Linked DNA regions of Macaca mulatta. The protein of the gene in region 1 purifies or fractionates together with the protein of each later gene. This does not show direct contact. Links are inferred from orthologs where the notes say so. Each region holds a gene or a part of one and is shown on either strand. Other genes may lie near its edges.

Region 1 (4,051 bases):
GAAGTCCTATAAAGCCCAGACAAATACAATAACTAGAGGGGGGGCAGCATTTAGGGGAGACAAGAACCCAGGAAGAGACACACACCACCCAATGCGTTCTATTGCATTTGTCCCGTTTCAACACAGTGAGGTAGGTTTGCGGTGATCTCACAGCATGTAAACGAAACCCCCTTTTTCTCCTTTAGCTACCATGACACTATTAATCACTACTGCAGCAGGGCAGGACACAGGCCCCAGGCACCACAAAGCCCTCACTTGTGTGTCTCCCTGGAACCCGAGAATTTTGACAGGTTAAGAATCTTAGACCTTACTTCATATATCCATCCTTGGACAGCACAGGATTAAGTACAGGGGTATTGGTCTTAAAACTTATCCTTGGCAACTGCAGTTTTACAAACACACACACACCCTGTGGTGCATGGTAGGCCTAGCCTTATCTGGTGAAGAATGGATCTGGAGATGTAAAACACGTCCTGTGCCCTAGGATTAGACAACCCTCACCTAATCTTGGCTTGCTCTCTGGGCCTTTCACTTGGCCCAGCCTCTGCTAGCCTCTGTACCACCATTTCCTGTTTAGACTAATTCCCAATCTTCCAGTAGGAGGCAATCAAGTCATGGGGCAACCCAGTTAAAACCTAGTCTCCCATAAAACATTTTCAAGGCAGAGGGGGTTTCAAGAGGACACTATGGCAGAAAAGCCAGCTCTTATTGGCAAAAATGAGGTAGTTCAATAGGCTGTGCACTCCAAATAGTTGCTCTCCATGGTGGCAAAAACAACAAAAAGTATTCCTGCTGCGCAGACCTGGAGCTGCTGCCGGCTTATCCCTGAGATTGCTCATGTACCTGAGAACACAGTGCAGGAAATGAGGGCCTTAGATTAAAATATACAAAAATACAAAACCAGAATATTTATATTAAGGGAAAAAAAGGTTAAAATGCACAAGATACGTCATTCGCACACAGCTAGTGCAGTTGGCATCCTGGAGAAAGTGGGATCCAAGGTGCAGTATCCAAGGGAGCAAATAAATAAAATCACATTGGCTCAGAATGGGGCAGGAGTGAGCACAGGAGCAGCAGGTCTGCAGCTGTTCCCCCAAACACCCTTTTTGCCATCATCATTACCCATTGCTTGGGACAGTTGCCAGCACCCTATCCCAAAAGTGGGTATGAGGATACAAGATGTGAAAAAAAAAAAAAAAAACACTGCTTACTCCTGAGAGATTCCCTTCCACAGAATGTAGTGGCTTGTCTCCATGAATCTGGTCTTATACTTAATCATTTCACTCTGGCATGGGAATTATTATATATCCTTCTTTAAAAGGAAAACAACTTCCCTATCCAGGCCACTTTCAAAAGCTGGAAATTCTGGGAATGGAGCCTCAGATAAAGTATGCAGGTTGCAGGGTGATTCCCCCATCCTGGTTGCCCCCAGAACCCTCACTTGCATTTGGACAGAGCGTGATTGGAGTTCCTTTGACTCACCCTTTCCCCCCACCTAGAGGAAAGAAAGGGTGATGGTGTGAATCCCAGCCTGAGATACATGGCAGTGCCAACTAGCCCCAATGCACCCTATTCCCACTTTCTCCACTCTGCCTGCTCCTCAAAACTTCCTGATAGCAAAAGAATAGCCCCCACCCATTGTGGCTCAATTCTGCGCCTCCGGGAGCAGGGCAGGGCTGTGAATTTCTTCTTCTTCCTCCCGAAAGTAGGTTGGCTTTCCCTGTGCACTAGGGCCCTGCTGGGCCTTCAGCGGACATGAGGCTACCATATGGCTGATGCTCTGGCAGAAGTGGCACTTCTTGGGCTGGGGTGGCAGCTTGCATTCCTTGGCATGATGGTCTAGACCTCCACAGTTGTAGCACCTAGTACAAAGCAAGATGGTAAAAGTAAGAGAAAGGAGCAAGAAGAGGCCAGATGATTCCCATGAATGAGGACACCTTGGCTGTGGTACAGGTTTGTCACTTACTTCCCTTCCCAGAGACCAAACTTCCCACTTACAAAAGGAGGACTATTACTAAATGATCTCTTAAGTCCTTTCCACATCTAATTGTCTAGGTGATCTCTTCAGATTCATGTCAACTTGAAAATACCAAGACACCAGAAATAGAAGTTACTGACCCCAACTGGGAACTGCAACTTGGAGGATAGGAGAGATTCTTCCATACCCTTAATATAAGAGAAATTAAAGAAGCCAAATTATAGTATCTGTTCAGAGCTAAGGGGCTTTAAGACCAAACAAGATGGCCGGGCGCGGTGGCTCAAGCCTGTAATCCCAGCACTTTGGGAGGCCGAGACGGGCGGATCACGAGGTCAGGAGATCGAGACCATCCTGGCTAACACGGTGAAACCCCGTCTCTACTAAAAAATACAAAAAACTAGCCGGGCGAGGTGGTGGGCGCCTGTAGTCCCAGCTACTTGGGAGGCTGAGGCAGGAGAATGGCGTAAACCTGGGAGGCGGAGCTTGCAGTGAGCTGAGATCCGGCCACTGCACTTCAGCCCGGGCGACAGAGCGAGACTCCGTCTCAAAAAAAAAAAAAAAGACCAAACAAGATTAAGGAAACCCGCCATTTGCAGACCTGGTAAAGCAACAACAGATACAGATAATACTATCTTGTCGCATCATTTGCAAATCCATGATTTCCTTTAATTCTAAAACCATCCTAGGATGTTAGTATCACTGGCCTCACTTAACAATTGAGGCTAGAGCCCACAGAGCAAACTTACTTGTCCCAAGTAGAAGCACTAAGTCACCCCCAGTGCCCTCCTCACCTACTGCCCTTGCCCACACCTATTGCAGGCACTCAGCCTTCCAGATGCTGCCAGGGACCACAGGCTTCCCTTCGTGTTTTGCTGTGTGACCCAAAACTGACAGGATTGGGAGACTGGGGATGCTCCAGCAACCTAAAAGCTGCCTTCCAGTCCATACCTGTCTCCTTTTGATCTGCGCTTCTGCATGTTCTTCCCTTTTGGCCGCCTCTCACTCCCAATACAGAACACCCCACCAGGTCCGGTGACACGGATGGATTCCAGACCCTTGGCTGACTTCTTAAAGGTGAACTCCACTGCCTCACCCTCCTTCAAGCTCCGGAACCCCTCCATGTGCAGTTTACTCTGGTGAAGGGAAATAACATTAGTTTCCATTATTACACCGAAAGACCAGGAGCACTTATTCCTGTAGGGCAGGAATCAAATGTGATGGTACTCCTATTTTACTGGTAAGGAAACTGACTCAGAGTCACTACAATTACGAACAACAAAAGTCTACCAGTACATTAACAAAAATCATAATTATATAAGCAGATGCCATGATATTTTATAGCTATTAAATTAAGAATTTAAAGTTCTTAATAAAATAGAACAGAGGGCCTGGCACGGTGGCTCACACCTATAATCCCAGCACTTTGCGAGGCCGAGACGGGTGGATCACCTGAGGTCAGGAGTTCGAGACCAGCTTGGCCAACATGGTGAAACACCATCTCTACTAAAAATAAAAAAAATTAGCCAGGCATGGTGGTAGGCACCTGTAATCCCAGCTACTTGGGAGGCTGAGGCAGGAGAATTGCTTGAACCCAGAAAGCGGAGGTTGCAGTGAGCCAAGATCATGCTACTGCATTCCAGCCTGGGCAACAGAGTGAGACTTTGTCTCAAAAAACAAAACAAACAAAGAGAAAAATTTCTACATATAAGCATTTGGAAGAAATCAACAAATATAAAATTACGAAATTTGAGGTGTCAAGCTATAGAGGTTGCAGTGAGCCGAGATGGCACCTTTGTACTCCAGCCTGGGCAACACAGCAAGACTTTGTCTCAAAAATAAATAAATAGATAAATAAATAAATAAAATACAATAAAAATAGCTGGGCATGGTAGCTCAGCTGCGTGCAGTGGCTTACGCCTGTAATCCCAGCACTTTGGGAGGCTGAAGCAGGTGGATCACGAGGTCAGGAGTTCAAGACCAGCCTGGCCAACATGTGAAACTGTGTCTCTATTAAAAATACAAAAATTAGTCGGGTGTGGTGGCAGTCGCCTGTAATCCCAGCTACTCGGGAGG
Region 2 (4,051 bases), on another chromosome or scaffold:
TTTAACAAGATACAATGACTACCTTTTCTATTGTAGACCCTTTGGGATAACTGTATTCTATTACATAACTATTGTATGTTTTATTTAAACCAATTGTCTACTATCAGACATTTAGGATGTTTAAATATTTGCTATTATCAACAATATTACTGTGATAAGAGTACTTATTCATAAAGCTCTGCACACCTCTTGATCATCTCCTTAGGATAAATTCCTTTAAGTAGAATTCCTAAACTCTCATGTGATCTAAACAAAATAATAAACTCTTAAACCTATTATAATACAGATTTTACCAAGCAAAATCCCATCAAAGCGAGAAGCAAGCCATACATTCCACTGTTAGCAATACAGATTTAAAGGACCTTATTTAGATCAACAAACACATGTGCTTCCTGACAAACAGCAAATTCACAAATTAAAAAAAAAAAGTCAAAAGTCATAAGACAAGGATTCAACATCTTTTCCCAATGCTCCCCAAAGATTAGGCATTAAGCTCAAATGTGTATCAGCAATTATCATATTTAAAGAATATAAAGAATTACTAATTATCAGCCTGGGGTAGTGGCTCACACCTGTAATCCCAGTACTTTCGGGAGCCGAGGCAGGTGGATCACTTTGAGGTCAGGAGTTCAAGACCAGCCTAACCAACATGGAGAAACACCATCTCTACTAAAAATACAAAAATTAGCCAGGAATGGTGGTGCGTGCCTGTAATCTCAGCAACTTGAGAGGCTGAGTCAGGAGAATCGCTTGAACCCAGGAGGCAGAGGTTGCCATGAGCCGAGATTGTGCCATTTCACTCCAGCCTGGGGAACAGAGTGAGCCTCTGACTCAAAAATAAAAAAAGAAAAAAGAAAGAAAAGCAATTCAAGTAGGTGACCATCAAGCAATTCAGAATAACTTTAGGAACCCAAATGTACAGAAAAGGTTTAAATTTGACTATTTCTCCCATCAGGCCCCAAGAAAAAAGTCATACAATGAAATAAACAAGGGCCAAAGGAAAAAAGACTCAGACTTCACCTGTACAGACTCTCTAATGTAACTAAAAGTAAGTACTAAACACTAATCAAGAAATATTATATAATTATAATTAGCCTAAAAAAATCAACCTATAGTTAAAGTATAATGTCAAATGCAAAATAAAAAGCATCCATACCTCCTCTAGTTTATTATCACTTGATTTATGAGTAGAACTATCTAAGGATGATACTCGCTTTGATTTTTTTTCATATTCATCAATATCTCCATTTGGTAGATCTTTTCTTCTTGACTTATGAGATTTAGAGAATTCATCTGAAAGTCTATTAAATCCTTCTTCAGTGTCTCCATTTAGCTTCTCTTTCATTTTAGTTTTTTTGGCCTTGGGAGCATCCAGGTCATCTGTAACACCATTTTCTCTTGTTTCTGATTTCTCATCTGAGTCATAATGGTGCCTTGACTTCCTTCTGTCACTCTGTGAACAAAGAAAGTAGCAATGACAAGATGGTCAGAGGTTTTCTTTTAAGACTCTAGAGAAGTTAGCGTATGACTCCCCCACCAGTTCAGTTCAATCTACAGTTACTTTGAAAACCTACCTGGTAAAAATCCAGACTGGTTACTAATGCCAAGCTCTAAGCCTCGACTATTGCTATCTTTCTCATCCCATTCCTCATTCTCAAGGCTCATCCTCTAGCCCCTCTCTAATCCCTTCATAAGATTTAAGGAAAATTAAAACGGTTTCTCCTTAAGGAAAGAAAGACAACTCCAGAATTATAAATATTAAACAAACAAAAACTTGCAACATTTCCAAGAGAAAAAAATTAATACTTATTGAATACCTACCCAGCACTGTGTAATGTGTTTTCAGCTTATCTTGTTTAAATCTTCATAACAACCCTATAAGGGAAGTACAGGTCCATAATCCCTTATCCGAAATTGCGATATCCATAAAGCTCTGAAAACCGAAAGTTTTTTTGTAACTTATTTGGAGGCAAAACCTTACCTGAACTCATTTGATGGCAAAATTTAACTTGAACTAATGTGAGGCTCTTTATAGTCTTTATTTATCCCACTTAGTATGACTACTCATATTTAATATTAAGGTGTTTGATTACAGGTTCTGGGCCCCAAACCCTACCTGGGTGTTATCCTTCTAAAAATCCCCAGAATTCTGAATTCCAAAATACAACTAGTTCCAAGGATTTTGGATAAGGGATAGTGAACCTGTATTACCTTTGCCATTTTATTTATTTATTTTTGAGATAGAGTTTTGCTCTGTCACCCAGGCTGGAGGGCAGTGGCGCAATCTTGGCTCACTGCAACCTCCGCCTCCCAGGTTCAAGTGATTCTCCTGCCTCTCAGCCTCCCAAGTAGCTGGGACAACAGGCGTACACCACCACCAGTAGAGATGGGGTTTCATCACGTTGGCCAGACTGGTCTCAAACTCCTGACCTCAGGTGATCCACCCGCTTCGGCCTCCCAAAGTGCTGGGATTACAGGCGAGAGCCACTGCGCCCAGCCACCTTTGCCATTTTATAGACAAGGAAACAGAAGCTCTAAGAGGTTAAGCAACTTGCCAAAGATCCACATGTGGGATTTCCCGCAGCTCTAAGTACTAGAAATTGAATCTAGCACTGCCTGACTTGAAAGCCCATTCTCTTTTCACATTATACTTCCTCCCTGTACTTTGACAATTCACAGGTTAAAGGAAAACGAAACAAAACTATATAATTCATACAGAAGTCCAATTGTTATACCTCCATGGAAGGACAGTAATCCCTGGAATTTTTTTTTACTTTTTTAATTTAGTTAAAGAAAAAAAAAAAGCACTATTCTGCAACTTCAATTTTAAAATGCCAAACTACTGGTCAGTGTTGTGATATTTACAGAACACAAGAAAGGATTTGGGAATTTAGGACTTTAGCCTGGTGGCTAGCTGCGGTGGCTCACGCCTATAATCCCAGCACTTTGGGAGGCAGAGGTTGGGTGGATCACCTGTGGTCAGGAGTTCGAGACCAGCCTGGCCAACATGGTGAAACCCCATCTCTACTAAAAATACAAAAATTAGCTGGGTGTTGTGGCACACGCCTGTAATCTCAGCCACTCTCAAAAAAATTAATTACCCGGTCAAATGTTCAAAACAGATAGCAGTGACTAGGGACAGTAAAAACTACCACCACCAAAATGTTCACCATAACTTACACAACTTTTAGAGTTCTTTCACATATAATTTTCTCATCCATAAAATTGGAATTGCTGTGAGAATTGATCAATATTTGTGAAAATGCTTTGCAGTTACACATTACATCATCTGATTGATCTACAGTTAACTGCACTAGCCCATATCTTTCCAAACCAATAGGTTCTACAGAAAAACAAGATTATTTATAGAGTCAGCCTTGGGGCTTGAATTGCTCCTGGGCCCTGCACTTCAGGGAGAAGTTGAAGCAAGGCAAAGTGAAACCTCTCGGTCCAAGCCCAGTAACATCTCAAGGTGATTAAATATATTATTCCACTTTAGACCCACAATGCTTGGCACTCTCCGTTTACTTGGTTTCAGTTACACTTTATATTCCCTTCTTACCTCTATCTTCTTACCTCTACCACATATCTTCTTCAATGTTCCTCTCCTTCCTCCTCCAGTGGATGCTCCTTGAGTATCTGTTCTCTATGTTCACTTTTATTACTATTTTCATGGCTCAACACGTACTTCCAGACTCCCTTCCTCACCTACATTCCAATTCTAAGAATCTAAGGACCAGCTCCATATCTCAACACATCCAAACCAAAGTTATCTTCATCTCAATACCAGACCACTATTCGTTTTTGTTTTATTTTGTTTTCTGAGACAGGTCTTACTCCATCTCCCAGGCTGGAGTGCAGTGGCTCAATCATGGTTCACTGTAGCCTCAACCTCCCTGGCTCAAGTGATCCTCCCACCTCAGCCTCCTGAGTAGCTGAGTCTACAGGCACGCGCTACAACGGCGGCTAATTTTTTTTTTCTTTCTTGAGACAGAGTTTCGCTTTTGTTGCCCAGACTGGAGTGCAATGGTGTGATCGTGGCTCTCTGCAA
Region 3 (4,051 bases), on another chromosome or scaffold:
TCTCTCAGAGGAGAGTCACCTTGATGTGGATGCTGATTTGCCAAAATAACCAGCTGGTCAGTTCCTCTAATCTAGCTGGAGAGACAAATTCTTATCTTTCCACGAGATGTAAATACCTACTTCTCAAAACACCTGGCATTTCAGAAAGATGAAAAGAGCATATACTTGGAATAATTCTTCAGCCCAAAGACTAGAAATATCATCTTATTTCCCAAGGGGAATGTGTCCCTTTATTTCTTTAACTTGTAAGCAAAATAAAAGTAAAAAAAATTTAAAATGGGCTGGGCGCGGTGGCTCACGCCTATAATCCCAGCACTTTGGGAGGCCGAGGCGGGCATATTACATGGGGTTGAGTTTGAGACCAGCCTGGCCAACATGGTGGAACCCTGTCTCTACTAAAAATACAAAAATTAGCTGGGCATGGCGGCATGCCCCTGTAATCACATCGGCTCAGGAGCTGAGGCAGGAGAATCACCTGAACCTAGGAGGTGGAGGTTGCAGGTGAGCTGAGATCACACCACTACATTCCAGCCTGGGCAACAGAGCAAGACTCCATCTCAAAAAAAAAAAAAAATTAAAAAACGAAACACATTCTACCACGACTCTTCTCAAGTCAAAGGTACGGAAAAAGTGGCTCCTCGTATATTCCCATTACATTCTACTTCAGAATGCTTAACACCAAAATGTAGGCAAAACAGATGAGCTATACATGAGCCAAAGTTTATGGAAAATGTACCACTTTCTTTTCTCCCCCCTCCTATCTTTTTTTTTCCTTTTTCATTTTCTTAATATGGATTTTGACTAGGTTAATTTTTTCCTCAATTCAGTTATACTATAGACCTTTCTTTGGAATTTTTTCTTTTTTAAAAAAAAGAACAGATAAACAAGGAAAGAAAAGTCACTGTACTTCTCTGCCTTTTCTTTATAGTAGTCATTCAAAACTTCCTGTAAGCGATTGCTGTCCACTTGAATAGAACCTTCCAATTCTGCATTATCCAGAGCTCCAATTTCATCATCATCATATTGCTCATAAAACTTGAATATAAACGGAGAAAAGATAACATGAAAAGCAAATGTACTCAGTAAGACTACATATTTAAAATTTTTTTTACATTAATTTTATTCTTACACAATAGTTATTTAGGTACTATCACAATTACCATTAAAATATTAGTAGGGATTTAATGCAATAGGATGTGGAAGATATTTCTGCTCAGTACTTTAAGACTTACATTTAGACTAAAAATAGGCTTCCATTTAACATGTAAAGAAAGGCATTATTCTACTTAGCTTGGAGAACAAAATGCTAGGCAGCACAGATTACATCAAAACATTTTTTAAGATACTTTTTCTTTTCTTTTTTTTTTTTAAATATCTCACTGTCTCCAAGCCTGGAGTACAGTGGCGCGACCATAGTTCACTGCAGCCTCAAACTCTCAGGCTCAAGTGATCCTCCCTCCTCAGCCTCTGAAGCATTGGGACCACAGGCACATGCCACCACACCCAGCTATTTTATTTATTTTTGTTAATAGAAACAGGCTCTGCATTGCTCAAGACGGTCTCAAACTCCTGGGTTCAAGTGATCCACCTGTTTCGGCCTCCCACAGTTCTGGGATTATAGGCATGGGCCACTATGCCCAGCCTGAAGATATTTTCAAATTCCTTAGTTACGCAAACTAAAAGATTGTGCAACTGAAAATTCTCCCACTAATGTACATATTTCGTTCTTGTCTAGACAATAATTATTATATTATGCAAATGGTGTTGACACTGTTAAGCTTTGACAAAGAGTAAATGGGGGGGATATATCTCCTGAAGTGTGAGACGTGTAGCAACAATTTGCTTCTCCCTCAAGAGAGGAGGGAAAATAGTATTAGCTGACAAGGTAGCAAGGTAAGAGCCTTTATTTTAGATTCACCTTGAAGGAAACTATTCCTTCATTCATTTATCATTTATGGAACACTTTAAACTTCTACTACATGCCAAGACACCATTTTAGGCTTTTGGATGTATCCGTGAGCAAAATACAAAAAACTCTGTCCTTGGGGAATTCACATTCTAATCTGAGACAAATCTATATGACACACACAATAAAGAAGCACAACATTAGACATGATGTTAGGAGGTGTTATGTGCTACAGAACAACAGGATAGGTGGGATTAAAAGTCTTATAAACAGTCTATAGGTTGGGATCACAAACCCTGGAGCTAATCTGTTACAACAGAACCAAATACAGTATATGAAAATTCAAACTTTCAAAAGCGTCTTATACTCTACTTCCATTATGTTCCTCAGTGTTAGTTATGTCTGAAAACTCCAGATGAGAAATGGAAAGAAATGGAATTTTGATGTGCTCAATGAGGCCAATACTTCAGAAATACAACATCTTACGGATTACTGTTGGAGAAATTGAGAATCAGGATGTCAGAATTCAAGGGGGACAATAAGAATGTTTGATCAGCCAACTCCTTTTGACCTATACACGTTCTTTCCAGAATCAAAACTAGGGTGACTGGCCTCACAGAGTGTGTAAAGGGAAAACAACAATAAGTAGGGTGCTTTTATGCTCTGTTTTAATAAAGAGATACGTTGTTTTCAACACTCAAAAGTTTTAGCTTTGGGTCCCAATCTCTCTTTTTAAAAAAATTTAAAAAACAAAAAGCAAGGCACACAGCAAGGCGCCTAACATCTACTTAGCTCACAGGCGGATTGGCTGACTTGGCCAGAGGATGGTCCAGCTTCCAGATCCACCTCAACCCACTTGGCTTCATCAAGGTCCTCTACTGGATTGCTTCTATCTTTAGATTCACCTTGAAGGAAACTATTCCTTCATACATTTATCATTTATGGAACACTTTAAACTTCTACTACATGCCAAGACACCAGTTTAGGATTTTGGATGTATCCGTGAGCAAAATACAAAAAACTCTCTGTCCTTGGGGAATTCACATTCTAATCTGAGACAAATCTATATGACACACACAATAAAGAAGCACAACATTAGACATGATGGGGGTTTTCAGGACCACTTCTTGGGGGTTTTAAGGGCCAAATAGAAACTCAAGTGAGTTGTCCTACCACAGTTACTGAGAATAAAACGATTACAACTACTTTTGGTTATCCATTCAGGTTGAATGAGACATCATTTGGGCCACCTCCAGGTGTAAGCGTGTGATATAAATTGGAAAAGTCACATCCTCCTAGGCGATTACTCTTCTTCTGCACAGTTCTATGCTCCCTTTCCAGTCTTTGTGCTCCTGTACTGCACTGATAACCTTCTGCTTTATGCTGGCTACATGAACCTATAGCTGGATAGTTGTAAATTTCCTATGATTGACTTTGTGGTTGGTGAGCACTTCAACCTGGGCTAAAGTTGACAGGTATTAAAAAATATATATATATATATCATAAGATAGTACTAAAGCATCCCTTATTTGGGGACCTTACCTTCTCAAACCTCTCATCATGTAGGGTCAGCTGTTCATTTCTCCTCATGACTGAGGAAGTCATCGAATACTCGGTGAAGCGACTTTTTGTTTCCTCACTCCAGAACAAGTGATCTGCTATAGCTCTGTGGGTTTTTCTGGGCACAGACATACGATCTTCATCTGACAATAGGCCTGCAGAGTCATAGTCATCACTGCTATCTCCCTTCTCATCATCCACATCTTCCCACTCGCTGTCATCTTCATTCTCAGATTTCCTAAAGTAAAGGTCACAAATTACCTACCAAAACAACTTAAAAAGTAACAGAACAAAATCACTTTACACAAGTAAAACCGGAAGGTATTGCAGGAAAGGTTCTTGTCTAGGCAGGAGGGTGTCTGATCAACCCAGTTTGGTAGGAAAAGCAATAAATTTCACATTTTCTGCTCTAAAATACAGAAGTCTCAGATTAAATGCTCTTGAAGGTCTCTTCCAACTGTAACGTTCTATGGTTACCATCCCACTGAAGCAGTAACACTTAGGTCATCATCTCTGCTTTGAAACAAACCACACATACTGTATATCCCTTCCCTCTTCCTCTCCTGTTGACTTATTGGCCTGAAG
Region 4 (4,243 bases), on another chromosome or scaffold:
TGAGACAGGGTATTGGCTCTGTCACCCAGGCTGGAGTGCAGAGGTGCAATCTTGGCTCACCGAAACCTCCGCCTCCCGGGTTCAAGCCATTCTTGCGCCTCAGCCCCCCAAGTAGTTGGGATTTCAGGTGTGCACCACCACATTCAGCTAATTTTTTTTTGTATTTTTAGTAGAGATAGGGTTTTGCCATGTTTGCCAGGCTGGTCTTAAACTCCTGATCTTAAGTGATCCTTCCGCCTCAGCCTCCCAAAGTGCTGGGATTACAGGTGTGAGCCACCACACCCGGCTTTTTTCTTTTGAGATAAGAGTCTTGCTCTGTCCCCCAGGCTGGAGTGTAGTGGTATGATCTTGGCTCACTGCACCCTCCGCCTCCCAGGTTCAAGTGACTCTCCTGCCTCAGCCTCCCGAGTAGCTGGGACTACAGGCACGTGCCACCATGCCGGGTTAATTTTTATAATTTTTTTGTATATATATATATTAAAAAAATGCTATATGGTTATCTTGCCAGTTTTGTAAAACAGTTTAATCATCTCTCCTCTTTCTCGGCCACTGAGTTGGGATAGAAGTACAAGCAAAACTTCTGTGTTAGTCTACCCTTTACTTTCCTGCCGGTACCTTCCAGAGAGATTTCGCCAAGATGCCCGTTTGTCTTGAGCGCTGTTAGTGAAGAACTCTGTCTACTGCTGGTCATAGTTCCTTTCCTTTCCCTGGGGGCTTAATGGATACCTTTTTGGGGGCAGGAAATAAAAACTCAATGTTTATAAATTAAAACATCAACTGAAAGAGCCTTTGTCCTAGATGTGGCAGTCTGGGGTATGAATCCTCAGAAACTACTGAATTCCACTCCAGTGCTAAATATTCTTAGGGGAGGCACATAAAAACATCATTTATTATTAGAAATCATGACATGATACAAAGTCAAAATCCACTTGTGTCTTGTGAAAGACTACAGAAAGCCATGCTCAGCAGCTTCTTCTCCAATGCTGGCTAGCATCTTACCTTTCCAAGTCACATGGCAGTTCATCCTACCCTCAAGGAGCTGACGGCAGCCCACAGCCTCCCACTTACAAGTGTGATCACCCACTCAAGATACTGGGAAATATCCCTGTTCTAGCATCACATTTTAATCAGATTTGTCAAAATCAGGTTGCTGCGGCAAAGGCTCTTTCACCGAGGATACTAGTCCTGGAAGACTTCTCCTTCGGCGAGCCGCCAGCTCAATCTTCTGAACCAGGCTCACATCCCAGGGATGGGTCACAAAACTGATGACGGTGCCTGGAACCTCGCTCCCCACACGGCCCACTCTCCCTGCTCTGTGGATGTAATCTTGCAGCGTTGGGGGGAAATCATAATTGACAACCAGCTCCACACCGGTGCTGTCCAGGCCCCGAGAGGCTATGTCTGTGCAGAGAAGTATGTCTCGGGAGCTCTTCTGGAAGGACTGGAAGATTCCTGCCCTCATTAAGGCCGGCATTTGCCCCTGCAACCTTAGGTGTTGGATTTTGTGATCATCCAGAATATATCCCAGCCAGTTCACAGTGCTGGAGCTATTACAGAACACCAGAACAGTTCCTGAGGGGCCAGTCCTTTCTGCTCTGTTATGATGCTTGAGAATGTGCACCAGCTCGGCTACCTTATCTGCTCCCTTCAGTCTCAGAAATGTCTGTTTCACATGAGGCATGATACAGTGGAGATTGGAGCTGGTGATGGTGGTGACAGCATCTGGGCTGGCGACTTTATCCAGCAACTGGCCTACACCTTCGGGAAATGTGGCTCCTACCAGCACTAACTGAGCTTTGGGATTGAAGCGGTCTTCCAAGTCAGCTGGGCCGTCTGCTATGTGGCTCTTCTCTAAGATGCAGTCCACCAGTTCCAGGAAGCTTTCATCCAGCAGTGTGTCTGCCTCATCCAACACCAAGAACGAGAGTTGCTCCAGACTAATCAGTCGACTTTTCAGGGCCTTCCACAGAGCCCCTGGAGTGGCCACTAGCACATCTGCTGAAGGTTGTCTGGCCAATTGCATCCTGATCCTACACATGCCGTGGCCTCCCTCCAGGTCCCGCACCAGCAGGCCCAAGGAGCGGCCCAAGGGTTGGGCCACAGCCTGCACCTGTTGGGCCAGTTCTCGGGAAGGAACAAGGACTAGGCCTCGGGGAGCGGGGATACGAAGGGAGTCCAGGCTTGGCTGGACCATGAGCCGTTGAAACAGCGGCAGGAGGTAGCTGAGAGTCTTGCCACTGCCGGTTTCTGCGGCGCAAAGGACGTGGCGGCCGCGAAGTAGTTGGGGGATGGTGTTAGACTGCACGGTTGTGGGCTGAACGACTTCAGGCGCAACCTCCTGTAGTGCGTGCAGCACACGGGGCTCCAGGCCCAGGTCAGCAAAGTTGCCCTCAGACGAGAGCTTTTGCACAGCTGGCGCCTCCTGTTGCGCTCGCTCGATGGAGAAGTGGTCCCGACGCGCGCGTCGACTCTTCCAGCCTTGAGAGGCTAGCGGCGCGCTCTCCCAACGACCCAGTGTGAGGCGCGCCGGCTGGTTGAACTCCGGCCGCCGCGCCGAGACCAGCAGCCGTCCAGGTCGAACCAGCACCGGCCTCGGGAGGTTCCGCTGCCTGCTCTGCCGTTGTTCCAACTGCCGCTGTAGAGCCACTGGAATACGCACCACCGGCAGGGGTTCGTCGGGACTGCGGACCGTGAGACCTCGTCGGGGCGCCAGGATCAACCGAGCCACGAGGGAAAAGAGCCTCACTGGCCGCGATAGAGCCATGTTTCCCTTAGTGCGGCAGAAGCGCACACAAGTGACGTCACGGACGCGCCGCGACCTCGCGTACGGTGGCTGGCGAGGCTCAGTACATTGTACGGAGCTGCAGCACCGTGAGGAAGAAGGGAAGTTCTCCTTAAGAGTTCAGCTGCGAGGTCTGTAGCTCGGAATAGGGGATGGCGACATCCAGACCCGGCCAGCCTTGGGGAAGGGTGCGTCGTGGTGGCAGGACTGGAGGCTGGCGATACGAGGCGGCAGTGGGGCCTTGACCCAATGGATCATGAGGGCGGAGGGCTTCTGGCGATTGGTTACCTGGTTCCTGGGATTCTCTTTAGTTGTTCCTTATTGCCCAGAGATAGCTTGTCCCGTGCTGGTCTCCGAGGTTGCAGCTGTTTTCCCAGATGTGTTCCCTGCGCAGGGTCTGGTAATCCTTTTTTATTGAGAATTTGAATGAATGGTCAGGCCTAGGGGCCGAGACAGGGGTGTGAAATCGTAGATCTGGTCTCAACCCCTCACGCTCCCTGTCTGAAAGCCCAGAGTGCAAGCTGATGGCTTTCAGCTGCTTCTCTCTCTCAAGTGGGAGGTGAGGTCTTCAGGCTTTATTTCAAGCTGGGTCATCTCTTCTTCACAGTTATTTTCCTTACTTTTCAGCCAAGATTCACTCTCTACTCCTTCGTCACCCATCCCAACTTCTCATCCTGAACCCACCCCTCTTGCAGCCCGCTCAGCTCCGCTGGTTTCCCGGTCAGAAACCTATATTGCCTAAATAGTAGTAAGAAGGGTGCTGCGACCCTGCGAAATGAGCAGGTACGTAGCTTATCATGTAGCCCTGGTCAGGCAGAATATTTTACCTGAATTCAGATATTCGGGTTGTAAAAACAAGAACTATATGAGTCACCTTTTTTTTTTGTCCTGAGACACAGTCTCGTTCTGTCACCCAGGCTGGAGTGCAGTGGCGCGATCTCGGCTCACTGCAACCTCCGCCTCCGGGGTTCAAGCGATTCTCCTGCCTCTGCCTCCCGAGTAGCAGAGACTACAGGCATGCACCACCCACTCCCGGCTAATTTTTTCTATTTTTAGTAGAGGCAGGGTTTCACCATGTTGGCCTCGCTGGTCTGGAACTCCTGGCCTCAAGTGATCTTCCCACCTCGACCTCCCAAAGTGATGGGATTACAAGCGTGAGCCACCATGCCCAACAGACACTTCTTGAACAGATCTGGAAAATAGGTGTCAGATATTTTCTGTAATCCGCAGTGCCTGGGGTGGGAGATAAGGTAAATGTTTATGGGTTAACTCTGGGAGGTTCGTAACATCTGGAGAAAGCGTTTTAGTTTCATCAAATACCACTGAAAAGATAAAAACTGCTTTTTTTTGGAATAGTATGAGGAAAAACTTTTACAATTTTAAGTACACTCTACCCTTGTGCTACACAATTAGACTTTCTGGAGAGTTGCCAGATAAACCAGAGGAGTAGAGGCTTTTTTT
Region 5 (4,551 bases), on another chromosome or scaffold:
CCCCATTTTTCCGCCAGGAGAGGGGTCCAGGGAAGTGCGGTTAGCTGGCCAAGGTTTGGAGGCTGAATAACCCAAGAGTTGGAATTAGACATGGTATTACCCGGCTATCCCTACCAGTACTTCTCCCCTATACAGGTTACAACAATCCTACAGCTCAGCCTTGCTGGCTGGGGCAGTTCCAAGAGGCTTTTCATTCAGTCTTCTCCTAGATCCAGCAGGTTGTGTGCTCTAATTCTTGTTTTGGAGATGGCCAACATTCCAGGCTGTTATGTTATGTGAGCACGTGGGATCACAGCCAGTCAGAAGCCAGGACTTCTCTAAGTGAAGTCATAAGCACCAAAGGGATCTTGCTAGACACGCAGATTTCTAGGTCCAGTCCCAGACCGAGCCTGATTCCTAATACTTTGGCATGTGCGTTCAAAGAAGTCTTCCCTTATCACCCAAACAAAAGTAGCCCATCTAGTTTAACTGATTACCACAGTTTAACTATTTTCATAGATACTAGACAATAATTTGTTTATCACTTTTTTATTGTCTCTTTCCCCACCTTAGAATAAATTCCATGAGGATAGGGACTTCGTTAGCCTGGTTTATACCAAACCCGTTTCCTAGAACCCTGCAAGGCCCCCACAGTACGAGGTCAGTAAGTATTTATTGACTAGAATGTACATTGAAGTTTGAAACTGCTGTCATACGTTGTTCCTTCATTTTACAATAGTGAAACTGAGGCCCACGAAGCTGGAAGTCACTGCTGCAGATGGTAAGGGGCAGGGCCAGGATAAAATCTCAGATCTCAGAAGTCCCAATCCAGGGATGGTTCAACTCCGCCCAAAGCAATTCTTGAGGAAAAAAACGACATCCACTTAAAAGAAAAGACATTTTCTGCCCATAAATACAAGGTTTCGCGGTGGGGAGAAGGGCCTGGTCTGGGTGAGGGCTTTGGTAATTCCGTTCCCACTTCCTAGGCGCCCGCTGCCCTCAAGGGCTAAGGAATCGCCTTCCAGGCCCGGAGTCGAACCCATCTCCGGGTAGCGTCGGGGCCAGGCCCGGCGGCGGCGAAGCGCGGAGCACAACCCGCTGAGGTGCGGACGGCTCACCCAACCAAGGTCACCCGGGCGGGGACCGAAGGGGCTAGGCCAGCCGCGCACAGGGGAAGGGGCAGCGTTGGTGCGTCCTCGGGACGGATGAGGGTCCTCCTTCGGTCTCCCGGAAGTCAGGAATGACATTAATGGATCCTTCCCCTGAATCTGACACCCAGCCTAAAGAGCGCGGGCAGGCCCTGCCGCCCGCGTGGCCCGGTCCCATGTGCTCCACCTGAAGCCGCTCTCACGCGCTGGCCCTTTAAGACACCTCCCCTCCTCGCCCAGCCTTCTCTCCTATCCCCCTCAGCGCCCCCACCTACAACTCCCGAATTGCATCAGGCACGTGCTCGCCCCCGTCCGGTCTGAGTGTCCCTACCCCCAGCCCGGGAGGTGCTCTGAGGAATCGGAGACGAGGGGCGGGGCGAGGGGCAGGACCGCGGAGCCGTGCGCGCGCGCTCCCGCCGCCTCCTGCCCGCCCGTCGCCCAGGGCCCGGCCGGCGGGCGCGCCCCCGCTGCGCCGTCCCCCCTCGCCCGCCGCGTCGTGAGGCGCGCGCCCGCCCGCCGCCTGCCGCGGATCGCGTGGTCTGCTCGGCTCGCCGCGCCTCTCCCCCGTCCGTCCATATTGCTGCAGCCCCCGAGCCGGGAAGCCCGGGCCGCCCCGGGGGCGGGGGGGAGGGAGGGACGGGACTAGAAGCCTGCTGGGCTCGGGGTGGGGGCGTCTTGCGAGGAACGGGCGGGGGGGGACGCACGCCAAGGAGGCCTGGACCGCAGAGTGGGGGGCCTTCCTCCCCCCCCGCCCCGCTAGTGGGCCTCGGATTTACGGCGGCTGCATCTAACTGGGAGGGGGCCGCACCTCGCGTGAACCCCGACCCTTCTCCGCAGGGACTGGGGCCCGGCGCCCCGGAGGAAGGCGTCGCGGGCGCTGTGCTAGCCAAGTTCGAGGCGGGGGAGGCAGCTTCGGGCGCGCCCGGCTTCTCCGGGGGGGCGGGCGCGCAGATGGCCACTCAGGTGGAGCCGCTCCTGCCTGGGGGCGCCCCGCTCTTGCAGGCCGAAGAGCACGGGGGGCTGGTGAGGAAGAAGCCGCCGCCGGCGCCCGAGGGCAAGGGCGAGCCCGGGGCAAACGACGTCCGCGGGGGGGAGCCGGACAGCGGCGCTCGGAGACCCCGGCCGCCCTGCGCCAAGCCGCTCAAGGAGGGCACCGGGCAGCAGGAGCGCGAGAGCCCGCGGCCGCTGCAGCTGCCCGGCGCCGAAGGCCCGGCCGTCAGCGACGGGGAGGAGGGCGGCGGCGAGCCAGGCGCTGGCGGAGGAGCTGCCGGAGCCGCGGGCGCGGGGCGCCGGGACTTCGTGGAAGCCCCCCCGCCCAAGGTGAACCCGTGGACTAAGAACGCATTGCAGCCGGTCCTGACCACCGTGAACGGACAGTCCCCCCCAGGTGGGTTTCCCTCCTCGCCCTCCTGGGCCCGGGGGCCTCTTCCGGGGACATGGGAGTCCCCTCCCCCAGCACCTCCAGGGCCCCGGGGTCCGCTACCGGTCATGGTGACTCGGGACTTTTTTAAATTGCCTCCTGGTTGATCCTGGTCGCCGCGCCCTCCCCCAACCGCACACTCAGGGATCTGCCCCTGCCCGAGGACCCGGCCTCCGGGAGGCTGCGGCCACCGCCTGGGCCTCAGCGGTTAGTGGGCAACGGTGTGATCCGGGCCTACCTCGTCGGCAGAGGGTGGGCGCTGGTTTCAGTGAAACGATCCCCACCGCATGCTGGTGTAGGAGACGGTTTCTGGTTTGAACCTTCCTTGGGAAGCCCCTCTTCCCACCCCGCCCGGCGCTCCCCGTTTTGGTAGCGTTGCGAGCGTCCCCATGTTGTAAATGTTTAGTGAGCATATGTCATGGGCAACCCAGTGCCCGGCGCGGAGTACATGCCGGCCGCACGGATTCGGGGATTAAAAGTTAACAAGTTTTGTTCTCGGGGAGATGATCTTGGGCGGTAGAATCGCCATTTGGAGACGGGTTGAAGGGTTAGTTATGGAGAGAAGAAACCCATCGTGCTACCGAATTCGGTGGTTTCCCTCCCCGATCCCGGGCACCTTCCGCCTTAACAAGGAGCCGGACGGCGAGTGTGCTGGGGGAGCCAGTTAGGAGGTTGGCGGAAAATGTGAGGCGGGTGAGGGGCCTGCGGCGACTTGAGGGGCGTGTGGCGGCGGGGGAGGGAGTGGCCCGGCTGGGCGGGCGGGTGACAGTTGGGCGCCATGCGCCGCGCCGGCGTCCCGCGGGTCGCTCGGCCTCGGCGTTCGGCGCGGGCCGCGGCGCTGGGGGTGGCAGGCGGGTGCGGGCCCGCGGCGCCGAGTGTGCGTGTGCGCGGCGCGGGTGTGTGCGCGTCCCCCCTTCCCGGCATTCCTCTGCAGCCGGGACAACGTGGTGCCTCCCCGCGCGGGGAGCGGCATGTGACTGCCGACCGGCGCTCCGCGAGTCCTCCCTCTCCCTCCTCCGCGTTTTGGTCCTTTTGGACCGTGCCCCTTTCCAGGGGGAGGTAAGGGTTGCAGGAAATCCCAGCAGAGCCGTGTCAGCGTGGGGAGAGAGGCGGTGCAGAATATGGAGTCTGCTCCTGGGCTGCCTTTGCCGAGAATAGATCGTCTGCTTGGATGGGGGGGGCGCGCCCACTCTTCCCTCGGCCGGCGCATAGGGCGGGTCTCCATTCTTTGGTTTTGGGTCCGTTTGAGGTGGGTCGGTTTGAAACTGTCTTGTAGTTAGAATGATGGCCTCTGGTCGTAGCCCTGGTGCTTTTAAAAAAAACTCCTCTCCTGCCGTAGCTGATTGAGGCTAACTGGTTTAAACCATTGAAAATAAAGGGGGTGCTTAATGCCTTTACAGTCAAAGAAGTAGAAGCACTGCTAGTCCTAGGGAAGCCAGAATAGCCAGTCCTGAAAACAGCATGTTGCAATTTTTATTTCTTTTCAGGTTGCTTCATTTGGAGGAGAGGACATTGGGGGTTTACTAACAGTCCCTCAAACTGTGTTCTCTTCCTTCTCCCCTCCTTCCCTTCCCCCCTTTCCCTTCCAGAGCCCTCTTATGCAAAAGACAGTGCAGAAACCTCCGTTTTCTTTCACATCCCTCCTATCCACCTACAGAATGAGGGAAAACAACTTTAGAACACTCTTTGGTCCTTCTCCACTCTTTAAACTCAAAAGGGTATAATCATCCGCGGGAGAGAGCACTCCTTTTAAATGGGGCTACTCATCCTGGCTGCTGCTTGGCTAATGGTGAACCTGCCTTGTGGGTTTTAAATCAGCCATGACATCAGGTGGTATTGGGTGCCTGAGCTGGCATTTTGTGTAAGTCCAGGAGCCCTTGATAGTGTGCGTCACTGGGGTTATTGATCGTGGGAAGAAGACAGCTTGGCTGGCATCTCACCTTTTTCTCTGAGTGGAGAAGCTGACTTGCTTTAATTGCCCAAAGCAAAATTCTCAGTAAGGGT
Region 6 (4,489 bases), on another chromosome or scaffold:
ACTTTATTAGGACTTAATTTTCTTATATAGTAAATGGAAGTATGTTATAATTATGATATTTTTATTTGTAGAGAGCAAGAAGCAAAACAAAAGTTAGAAGAAGATGCTGAAATGGTAAGTATATATTACTGCTATCTAGTATATCTGTAATTCATAGTTAAATGAATAGCTTTTAAGTCTGAGGACTTTTTCAAGAAAATATGTAAGCAAAGCTATCTATAGTTGTCATTGCACAGGTATTATATTGAGGGAAAAGAGAACACTAAGGATAGGAAATATGTTCTAAAATACGAAAAGGCCGGGTGCAGTGGCCCACGCCTGTATTCCCAGCACTTTAGGAGGCCAAGGTGGGTGGATCACCTGAGGTTGGGAGTTCGAGACCAGCCTGGCCAATATGGTGAAATCCCGCCTCTACTAAAAATACAGAAATTAGCCAGGCGTGGTGGTGTATGCCTGTAATGCCAGCTACTCGGGAGGCTGAGGCAGGAGAATCACTTGAACCCAGGAAGTGGAGGTTGCAGTGAACCAAGATCATGCCACTGCACTCCAGCCTGGGTGACAGAGTGAGACCCTGTCTAAAAATAAAGAATATAATAAAACACAGGAAAATATATTTTGAAATATTCAGAAAAAGTTCATTTATGCCTAGAACTTATGTTTATGAGAAAATGTCCTCCTATAACTTCTAAAGATTCTAATCATAGATTAATACTTTTTTTTTTTTTTTTGAGACAGAGTCTCGCTCTGTTGCCCAGGCTGGAGTGCAGTGGCCAGATCTCAGCTCACTGCAAGCTCCGCCTCCCGGGTTCACGCCCTTCTCCTGCCTCGGCCTCCCAAGTAGCTGGGACTACAGGCGCCCGCCACCTCGCCCGGCTAATTTTTTGTATTTTTTAGTAGAGACGGGGTTTCACCGTGTTAGCCAGGATGGTCTCGATCTCCTGACCTCGTGATCCGCCCGTCTTGGCCTCCCAAAGTGCTGGGATTACAGGCTTGAGCCACCGCGCCCAGCTATTTTTGACTTAATAAGATAGTGATGTGTATTTCCATTTAGAAAGTTACAGGTAAAATTTTTTATTTGGGGAAAATAATAATGACTCTTTAAAAAAAAATTTTTTTTTTCTTTTTTTGAGACGTCTTGCTTTGTCGCCCAGGCTGGAGTGTAGTGGCGCGATCTGGGCTCACTGCAAGCTCCGTCTCCTGGGTTCACCCCATTCTCCTGCCTCAGACTCCTGAGTAGCTGCGACTACAGGCACCCGCCACTATGCCCAGCTAATTTTTTGTATATTTTTTTTTAGTAGAGACGGGGTTTCACCATGTTAGCCAGGATGGTCTCCATCTCCTGACCTTGTGATCCGCCTACCTCGGCCTCCCAAAGTGCTAGGATTACAGGCATGAGCCACTGCAACTGGCCTAAAAAATTTTTAAAGTATGATAAATACTGCCTGGAATTATTTTCCAAGATAGTTTAATAACCAGATTTTATGTAGTTTATAACTAAATGCCAGTTGTATAAGAGATCAAATAATATTGAAAGCCATTTTGGGATAAAGGATGACAAAGGAAAACACCAACACTATGAAACTGCTTTATTTATTTATTATTATTATTTTTTTGAGATGGAGTTTCGCTCTTGCTGCCTAGGCAAGAGAAACTACTTTAAAATAGCATTTTGGTTTCTAGGCTCTTGTATAGCTATAATGTGGTGTCAGTCATTTATGGTCTGTTGTTGCTTTTAAGAAACTTTTTGATCGCTTTGTATATTTTTATAGAAATCTCTAGAAGAAAAGATTGGATGCTTGCTGAAATTTTCAGGTGATTTAGATGATCAGACCTGTAGAGAAGATTTACACATACTTTTCTCAAATCATGGTGAAATAAAATGGATAGACTTCGTCAGAGGAGCAAAAGAGGTTTGGAAACATTCCTATGCTTTTTAGCAGTCAGTTTGAAAATCTGTAGAAACTTAGACAAAATTAGTAGAAAGCAATTTTTAAAATTGTGTTTATTAGTTTCTACTTGATCATTTGTTGTTATTGTCACTAGATGTGATGTCTGATATTTTCTGAATTATACTAGTTTCTACTTGATCGTTTACTTTGTTGTTATTGTCACTATATGTGATGTCGGATAGTTTCTGAATTATACTATGAATAACTGTTCATATTGATTATTGCAGTTTTACTTCTGTAGCATTCCTTTTCTACTGTTCAGTAAAGTTCATTGAAACTGGTAAAGGCATGGAAGGTTTGCAGGGTAGAAAAAATTACTTTGAACAAAGAAATTAATTGTGGGACTAAAAAACTAAGGGTATGGCTTTTGTTTTCTGTCTCTGATATAGGGGATAATTCTATTTAAAGAAAAAGCCAAGGAAGCTTTGGGTAAAGCCAAAGATGCAAATAACGGTAACCTACAATTAAGGAACAAAGAAGTGACTTGGGAAGTACTAGAAGGAGAGGTGGAAAAAGAAGCACTGAAAAAAATAATAGAAGACCAACAGGAATCCCTAAACAAATGGAAGTCAAAAGGTCATTTATTCTGATTTTTCTTTAACAGTTTGGTTGTTGAACCCATTTACTTGAGCAAAAACTTTAATCAGTGTTCAAAAACATTGACAAGAGACTTAAAAAAAAATTCTTTACAGAGTGCTCAATTGTGTCTCTACAGGTCGTAGATTTAAAGGAAAAGGAAAGGGTAATAAAGCTGCCCAGCCTGGGTCTGGTAAAGGAAAAGTACAGTTTCAGGGCAAGAAAACGAAATTTGCTAGTGATGATGAACATGATGAAAATGGTGCAACTGGTAAGTTTTTTCCTAAGTCCTTTGGTAGTTTCATGAGAAAATTTGTACTTCCATAAATAAATGATTTGCCAGAGAATAGGGATTTGGCTTTTCAACTTCTGGATAAGTGCCAGTCTTGGATTATTATGATTTACCTTGGTTATGCTGTTGTATAAGTCAGGGACAGGATATTTGGAAGATGAATCTAGAGGTCAGGTCTGTACTAAGAGAAAAGCCTTTTCTCATTGGTGCAAGGAAGTTGTTGCATCTTTTTCAACAGTATCATTATTAGTAATTGTACTCAGTATTAAAATAGAGCAGTACTTACGTTGAATTTAACAAAAATTAATTGTTACGTTATAGGACCTGTGAAAAGAGCAAGAGAAGAAACAGACAAAGAAGAACCTGCATCCAAACAACAGAAAACAGAAAATGGTGCTGGAGACCAGTAGTTTAGTAAACCAATTTTTTTATTCATTTTAAATAGGTTTTAAACTACTTTTGTTTGCGGGGGCTTTTAAAAGGAAAACCGAATTAGGTCCACTTCAATGTCCACCTGTGAGAAAGGAAAAATTTTTTGTTGTTGTTTAACTTGTCTTTTTGTTATGCAAATGAGATTTCTTTGAATGTATAGTTCTGTTTGTGTTATTTCAGATGTTCAAATATCAAAAGGAAGATTCTTCCATTAAATTGCCTTTGTAATATGAGAATGTATTAGTACAAACTAATAAAATATATGCTATATGAAAAGAGCAAAAACAGTTTTTTTTTTTTTCTTTTTGTACCCAGAGCATTTAATAAAGAACTAGAATATTAGCTGTTGACCATGGGCCCTTCCCACAGGCCATTTATGGTGTCTCCTAGGCTGTCTTTCTATATTTACACAGGAAAGTTGATAACACTAGAAATAATTACTTGTCATAAAGCTTTTCTTTTTTTTTCCTTTTTCTTTTTTGAGACTGACTCTCACTCTGTTGCACAGGCTGAAGTGTAGTGGGGCAATCTCAGCTCACTGCAACCTCCGCCTCCTGAGTTCAAGCGATTCTCTTGCCTCAGCCTCCCGAGTAGCTGGGATTACAGGCATGAGCCACCACGTCCGGCCCAGAAAACTTTTCAATACCGAATGTAGACCAGCCAAAATCAAGAGACTTACTGATTTCTTTTTATGAAACTTGTATGATGCTGGCAGGTCATATCGAAGCTCTGTAAAACAAAAGCCACCTAAGGATAAAATTATATTTCCAAGCATTTACCACCCTTGACTAAACAACAACAACAACAAAAAAAAACTAAGACAAGTATTAAGTGCTGGTAAACTGAACATTTTAGAACCTTTAACTTATCCAAGTAGTGACTTGCTATATTCCCAGCATTGGCCATGGCAGCTTGGCATTTCTGTTATTATGGCCATTTATACTGAAATTTGAGGTTACAAGTGAAGAGTTTAGAAGGATAAAAAGTGGACCAAAAAGTAAATCCTATGAAAAGGATGGCACCTTTCTATTTTTAATTTCCTAATGGTCTGTAGCTAACTTAATCTCATAATAACCATGCTTATTTCAAAATTTTCTTACCCAGAGTTTAATAATTGTAGTAAGTACCCATTTTCCTCCTAAGTTCTAAAACGAAAACTAGTTTTTCATATTTCTTCCTTCTAAAGAATAATGTAGATTCTCCAAACTCTTTACTACTGATCTATTTTAGAGGGATGGCA
Region 7 (4,472 bases), on another chromosome or scaffold:
GGGAGCTGGAGTGCACTCCCTACTCAAACCTCCAGTCTCCTGGGACGAAAATGCACACCAAACTGTGCTGGTTTTAAAATGTCTAAAAAGTCTTCCTCCCTTCAAAAGGTGAAGCAACTTCATGAGAGGCTATGATCTAGAACCACCCAGCTACACTGTTGCTAGATTCCTGACCCTCAGAATAGTATGAGATAATATGTGTTGTTTTCAATCCGCTGATTTTTTTTTTTTTTGAGACGGAGTCTCGCTCTGTTGCCCAGGCTGGAGTGCAGTGACTTGATCTCAGCTCACTGCAAGTTCCGCCTCCCGGGTTCACGCCATTCCTGCCTTAGCCTCCAGAGTAGCCAGGACTACAGGTGCACGCTGCCACACCCGGCTAATTTTTTTGTTTTTTTTTTTAGTAGATACGGGGTTTCACCGTGTTAGCCAGGATGGTCTCTATCCCCTGACCTCGTGATCCGCCCACCTCGGCCTCCCAAAGTGCTGAGATTACAGGCGTGAGCCACCGCGCCCGGCCAATCTGCTGAATTTTGGGGGTAATCTGCCACACTGCAGTAAATAACTACCAGCGATGACCAAACTTTTACCCTTCCAGACCTTGCAGACCAGGCAGCTAACACTTCCCATCCCACGGTCTCAGGAAACACCACTTTCCACTCCTGTGTCCCCGACAGGAATCATCAGACAAGTCGAACTCTCACCTTCTCAAGCAACACAACCCACCCTCCTGGCCTAGCCCACTCCTGAAGCCTCACTCAGTCTCACCTCAGCCCCTACGCAATTCCTCTCGGTTGTCAGGCCTCCATCGGCGGGGGTCGAGTGTTGTGTGTGACCCCAGGTCTCCAGCAAGGTATAGTGGGAGGGAAGCATCCGGGAGAAGAGAGGTGGATTGGGCTCTCCCTCTCCCCCATACCGCCACCCTCCCTCACGCCCATATCCTGTCCAAGGCTCTTCCCGCGTCTGCTTCTGAAATCCCTCCACATCCCTCCACCCCATGTGCCCCACTCGTTGCACAGGAGCAGAGAGAACCGCAGAACACACGTCTACGATTATGCCACTCTTCAGATTTACATCTTGCAGCAACTTCCCACTGCGTTAGAACGGAAGTAAACCTCCCAACTCACAGACCTCACCCGAGCCCCCACGTCCCGCGTCGCCGGCCTCTCAACCGACGGTGCCCTGATCCTCTCGGAGCGAGCGCCGCGGGCTGCGCCGGGTCCCAGGCCTGCGCCTCTTCCCCATTTCCCAGGGGTCTTTGCCGACCACCCTCCTGCGCCACAGCTGCTCAAGTTCTGTTTACTTGCTTTTCCCTCCCCACCAAAAGGTGAGCCTTGAGAAGACACACCCTTGTGTAGAGCTTTGAACTTTTATCCGGAAAGGTGCCGGGCACATAGTCGGTGCCCGGGAGCACTTGCTCACAAGGTTCCTTCCGAGACCGCCCTGCAGCCTCTTTCCGGATCCCCCAGGCACCCCCGACCCCGGCCTCGCCCCACCCTACCCTCGCCCCAGCCCCGCCCTGCCCTCGCCCCAGCCCCCCCCTGCCCTCGCCCCAGCCCCGCCCCGACCCTGTCTCAGCTTCGCCTCGGCTTCATCCCGCCCCAGCCTCGCCCAGCCCCTCCTCTCCCCTCCCCGCCCGTCCCCTTCCCGCCCCCGCCCCGCCTAGCCCCGCCCCAGCCCCGTCCCAGCTTCGCCTGAGCCAGGTCCCAGCCCCGTCCCACCATCGCCGCGCCCCAGCTTCATCCCGCCCCAGCCTCGCCCCTTCCTCTCAGGGCCCCCGCGCCCCGCCCCGCCCCGCCCCGCCCCGCCCGCGACCCTGCGGAACCTAGAGTCGCAGGCGCCCTCTTGGAGGACGGAATTCGACGTCGGACTCCGCCTCGCGTAGTTCCGGTGGCGACTGCGGAGCATGGCGGTGAGCGGTGTGGAGAAGACGCGCGGGTGGCTGGGCGTCGCACTGTCGGTGGCCCTCCGTGACCCTCGTGCTGCCCCCCTTTCTCCAGGCCCTAGGACATCTTGCCGGGGAGGCAGCGGCGGCCCCAGGCCCGGGTACTCCCTGCGCGTCCCGCAGACACCGGCTTCCCGGCCTGGTTTCCAGCGTCCGGAATCCCTCCACTGTCTGTCTCTGCCCAGGGCAACCCACGAGCAGTAACGCCGACACCAGAGCGCACCCGTTAGGCGATGAAGGCAGTGCAGCGTCGAAAAAACAAAAGAATAAGAAGAAAACCCGGAACAGGGCCTCTGTGGCAAATGGAGGCGAGAAGGCCTCAGAGAAACCCGCCCCAGAAGAAGTGCCCCTAAGCGCTGAGGCCCAGGCAAGGGCGGGCGTCATTCAGGAAGGGTGGAATCCCCTAGTGCGAATCCACGGGCACATGTGATCTGGGGTCCGCAGAGTTAAGGCGGGGAGGGGGATGGGATGGGGCCAGGCGCAGTTTTGTGTCCCAGTGCCCTCTCACAGCCACTTCCCCAAATCCCTCACAGGCGCAGCAGTTGGCCCAGGAATTGGCTTGGTGTGTGGAACAACTGGAGCTTGGCCTCAAGAGGCAGAAACCCACCCCAAAACAGAGTAAGGGACCTTTCTATAGAGTTGGGGAATGTGAACAGTGGCACCGCCTGGCCTGCAGGTGCTGGCAGAGGTGAAGTTGTTTCCTTTGCGGTGGGGCGGTAGGAGGTCAGTAGTAGAGGTTTTCACTAGTCCTTTGTTTTTATTCGCAGAAGAGCAGGCTATTGGAGCAATCCGAACCCTGCGCAGCAAAAGAACGCCCCTGCCCCGGAAGAGGCAGTTGATGCACTCCTTGTTTGGAGACTATAGGGCTCAGATGGAAGCCGAATGGCGTGAGGCCCTGCGGGCTCTCAGATCTGGTGAGGAGCTAGTAACTGGTTGATTTAGGAAGGCCTAATTTAAGGAGGAAGTGCCTAGGGGGTGAAAGGAAGAAGGCCCAGAGCAACAAGGCTGGTGGGGGAAGGAGATGAGCTCAGGGAAGCCTGAGGGAACAGGGAAAGAGTAAGGATGGACCTGTCTCTCCTTTTCCCAGGACTGAACCTGGGAAGCAGCGGGGAGGTCATGGGAGGAGCGGGAAAGAGTGTGACCCTGTGTTGGTCCTGCTCCTGGCTTGGGGAAAGCTGCGTTATGTCTTTGTGTCTTGGCTCTCTCTACTGGCAACGAAGCCATATCCCATAACAGTTTGAGTGCAATTCCTGGAGCCAGATGAGCTAGGTTCAAATCCTGGATCTACCACATAGTAGTACTAACACCTTTTGCAAACTACTGAACCTCTCTAAATGGGCGGTGATAGTAATATCAACCTTACAAATTTGAGGAATTAGTTAATTTATTCAAAGTGGTTAGAATTGTATGGGCAAACATAACTGTACAGGTAATGTTAGCTGTTGTTATTCAGTTCTCACATACGCTGCTTCTCTCCCCTGACAGCTGCTTATTTAGCCCAGGTGCAGCCTGTAGATGGAGCCACCAGAAAGAAGAGCCGAAGGGTCTGCAGGCCTCGCCCTATAGGGCGAGCCAAAGCCACTCTGGACACTCCTGATGAAGAGTTTAGGTTCAATTTCTTTTAGCTTCTCCCCTGACCTGGAACATTCCCCCTCCCTTGGGGTGGTGTAGGGGTTTGTTTTGAGTGCAGAGCCTTTTCAGGACTTCTGTTGGGAGAGAACCCTGGGGTTGGTCTGTCCCTGGCTGGTCCAAGTATTTGGAGCTGTTGTGAAGGTGTGAGACCATCAGATAGGCAAAAGACCCCATTTGTTTTGTGATGAAATGTTCTCTCTTTCAGAACAGAGAGAGAGGTGCGTTTAGAAAATGTACAATAAATTGAAGTGACTGTTTGAAGTATTGTAGAAAGAATATTGTACTCAGTCTTTAGGATTAGATTAAGTGGCTGTTGGTAACAAAGATTAGTGGAGAAGCTATATAATTATACACTGTTTTTCACTTTTGAAAGGAATTCCTGTCAAATGGTTTAGTGCTTAATGCTGTTATGTCACATTGCCCTAGTCTTTATTTTTGATAAAATTGGATAACGAGTGAAAGAGTGTGCTGACCAGCTGTGTTAGAGGAAGTACAGAAGACGGCAGGGGTCTGGTTCCCTGGGTCCAGTCCCTTGCCTCGATCCTTTGTCCATGTTGCCTTCATTCCTGAGCAGGTGTCATCCTCAGGGAACCAGCATGGCAGCCACCAGGCATGGCTGTCTTCTCAGGAGGAAGGAGCTTCTTGCCCTAACAGTTCTGGCCTGAGACCTGGATTGAGCCTCGGCATGTTGGAACCGAACTGTTGATTCCCTCCTGGGCAGGGGTTGCCGCGAAGGATTACCGACACGAGATTCACAGCAGAGAGTTATCTATTACTAGCGCGCTAGGGTCCCAAGCTCTAAGTTGGCCCTGGGACCCCGACTGCTTGTTACAGGTTGTTTATATAGGCAAACACAAGTTTAAACACAGCTTATGGCGCGAAATTTAAACAAAGCTTA

What was found.
Region 2: the proteins of LIN28A (region 1) and DDX50 purify together in Homo sapiens (affinity purification with mass spectrometry; 3 studies listed by BioGRID and IntAct, with this or other methods). This does not show direct contact. The link is inferred for Macaca mulatta from reciprocal best matches to the Homo sapiens genes LIN28A and DDX50.
Region 3: the proteins of LIN28A (region 1) and LTV1 purify together in Homo sapiens (affinity purification with mass spectrometry; 3 studies listed by BioGRID and IntAct, with this or other methods). This does not show direct contact. The link is inferred for Macaca mulatta from reciprocal best matches to the Homo sapiens genes LIN28A and LTV1.
Region 4: the proteins of LIN28A (region 1) and DDX28 purify together in Homo sapiens (co-immunoprecipitation; 3 studies listed by BioGRID and IntAct, with this or other methods). This does not show direct contact. The link is inferred for Macaca mulatta from reciprocal best matches to the Homo sapiens genes LIN28A and DDX28.
Region 5: the proteins of LIN28A (region 1) and LARP1 purify together in Homo sapiens (affinity purification with mass spectrometry; 5 studies listed by BioGRID and IntAct, with this or other methods). This does not show direct contact. The link is inferred for Macaca mulatta from reciprocal best matches to the Homo sapiens genes LIN28A and LARP1.
Region 6: the proteins of LIN28A (region 1) and SSB purify together in Homo sapiens (affinity purification with mass spectrometry; 3 studies listed by BioGRID and IntAct, with this or other methods). This does not show direct contact. The link is inferred for Macaca mulatta from reciprocal best matches to the Homo sapiens genes LIN28A and SSB.
Region 7: the proteins of LIN28A (region 1) and C8H8orf33 purify together in Homo sapiens (co-immunoprecipitation; 3 studies listed by BioGRID and IntAct, with this or other methods). This does not show direct contact. The link is inferred for Macaca mulatta from reciprocal best matches to the Homo sapiens genes LIN28A and C8orf33.

The regions. Positions count from the first base shown.
Region 1 is NC_133406.1:214,578,086-214,582,136, forward strand, and holds part of LIN28A (protein lin-28 homolog A), read right to left. Parts: intron 3,112-4,051; coding exon 2,927-3,111; intron 1,863-2,926; coding exon 1,646-1,862; 3' UTR 1-1,645. UniProt on the Homo sapiens protein: RNA-binding protein that inhibits processing of pre-let-7 miRNAs and regulates translation of mRNAs that control developmental timing, pluripotency and metabolism.
Region 2 is NC_133414.1:80,734,417-80,738,467, forward strand, and holds part of DDX50 (ATP-dependent RNA helicase DDX50), read right to left. Parts: intron 1,934-4,051; exon of another isoform or gene 1,822-1,933; intron 1,454-1,821; coding exon 1,157-1,453; intron 1-1,156. UniProt on the Homo sapiens protein: ATP-dependent RNA helicase that may play a role in various aspects of RNA metabolism including pre-mRNA splicing or ribosomal RNA production.
Region 3 is NC_133409.1:49,122,246-49,126,296, reverse strand, and holds part of LTV1 (protein LTV1 homolog), read right to left. Parts: coding exon 4,005-4,051; intron 3,705-4,004; coding exon 3,449-3,704; intron 1,036-3,448; coding exon 908-1,035; intron 1-907. UniProt on the Homo sapiens protein: Essential for ribosome biogenesis.
Region 4 is NC_133425.1:63,592,069-63,596,311, forward strand, and holds DDX28 (putative ATP-dependent RNA helicase DDX28), read right to left. Parts: upstream 2,798-4,243; 5' UTR 2,765-2,797; coding exon 1,124-2,764; 3' UTR 859-1,123; downstream 1-858. Other genes in the region: DUS2 (tRNA-dihydrouridine(20) synthase [NAD(P)+]-like), read left to right, coding at 3,039-3,182. UniProt on the Homo sapiens protein: Plays an essential role in facilitating the proper assembly of the mitochondrial large ribosomal subunit and its helicase activity is essential for this function. May be involved in RNA processing or transport. Has RNA and Mg(2+)-dependent ATPase activity.
Region 5 is NC_133411.1:163,621,783-163,626,333, forward strand, and holds the start of LARP1 (la-related protein 1), read left to right. Parts: upstream 1-1,630; 5' UTR 1,631-2,078; coding exon 2,079-2,514; intron 2,515-2,785; exon of another isoform or gene 2,786-2,925; intron 2,926-3,469; exon of another isoform or gene 3,470-3,606; intron 3,607-4,551. UniProt on the Homo sapiens protein: RNA-binding protein that regulates the translation of specific target mRNA species downstream of the mTORC1 complex, in function of growth signals and nutrient availability.
Region 6 is NC_133417.1:74,728,385-74,732,873, forward strand, and holds the end of SSB (lupus La protein), read left to right. Parts: intron 1-71; coding exon 72-114; intron 115-1,769; coding exon 1,770-1,910; intron 1,911-2,338; coding exon 2,339-2,525; intron 2,526-2,664; coding exon 2,665-2,796; intron 2,797-3,138; coding exon 3,139-3,227; 3' UTR 3,228-3,292; coding exon of another isoform or gene 3,293-3,331; 3' UTR 3,332-3,534; downstream 3,535-4,489. Other genes in the region: rRNA N(6)-adenosine-methyltransferase METTL5, read right to left, coding at 3,293-3,331, 3,929-3,978. UniProt on the Homo sapiens protein: Binds to the 3' poly(U) terminus of nascent RNA polymerase III transcripts, protecting them from exonuclease digestion and facilitating their folding and maturation.
Region 7 is NC_133413.1:155,451,677-155,456,148, forward strand, and holds C8H8orf33 (UPF0488 protein C8orf33), read left to right. Parts: upstream 1-1,880; 5' UTR 1,881-1,903; coding exon 1,904-1,909; intron 1,910-1,997; coding exon 1,998-2,348; intron 2,349-2,475; coding exon 2,476-2,560; intron 2,561-2,709; coding exon 2,710-2,856; intron 2,857-3,427; coding exon 3,428-3,567; 3' UTR 3,568-3,832; downstream 3,833-4,472.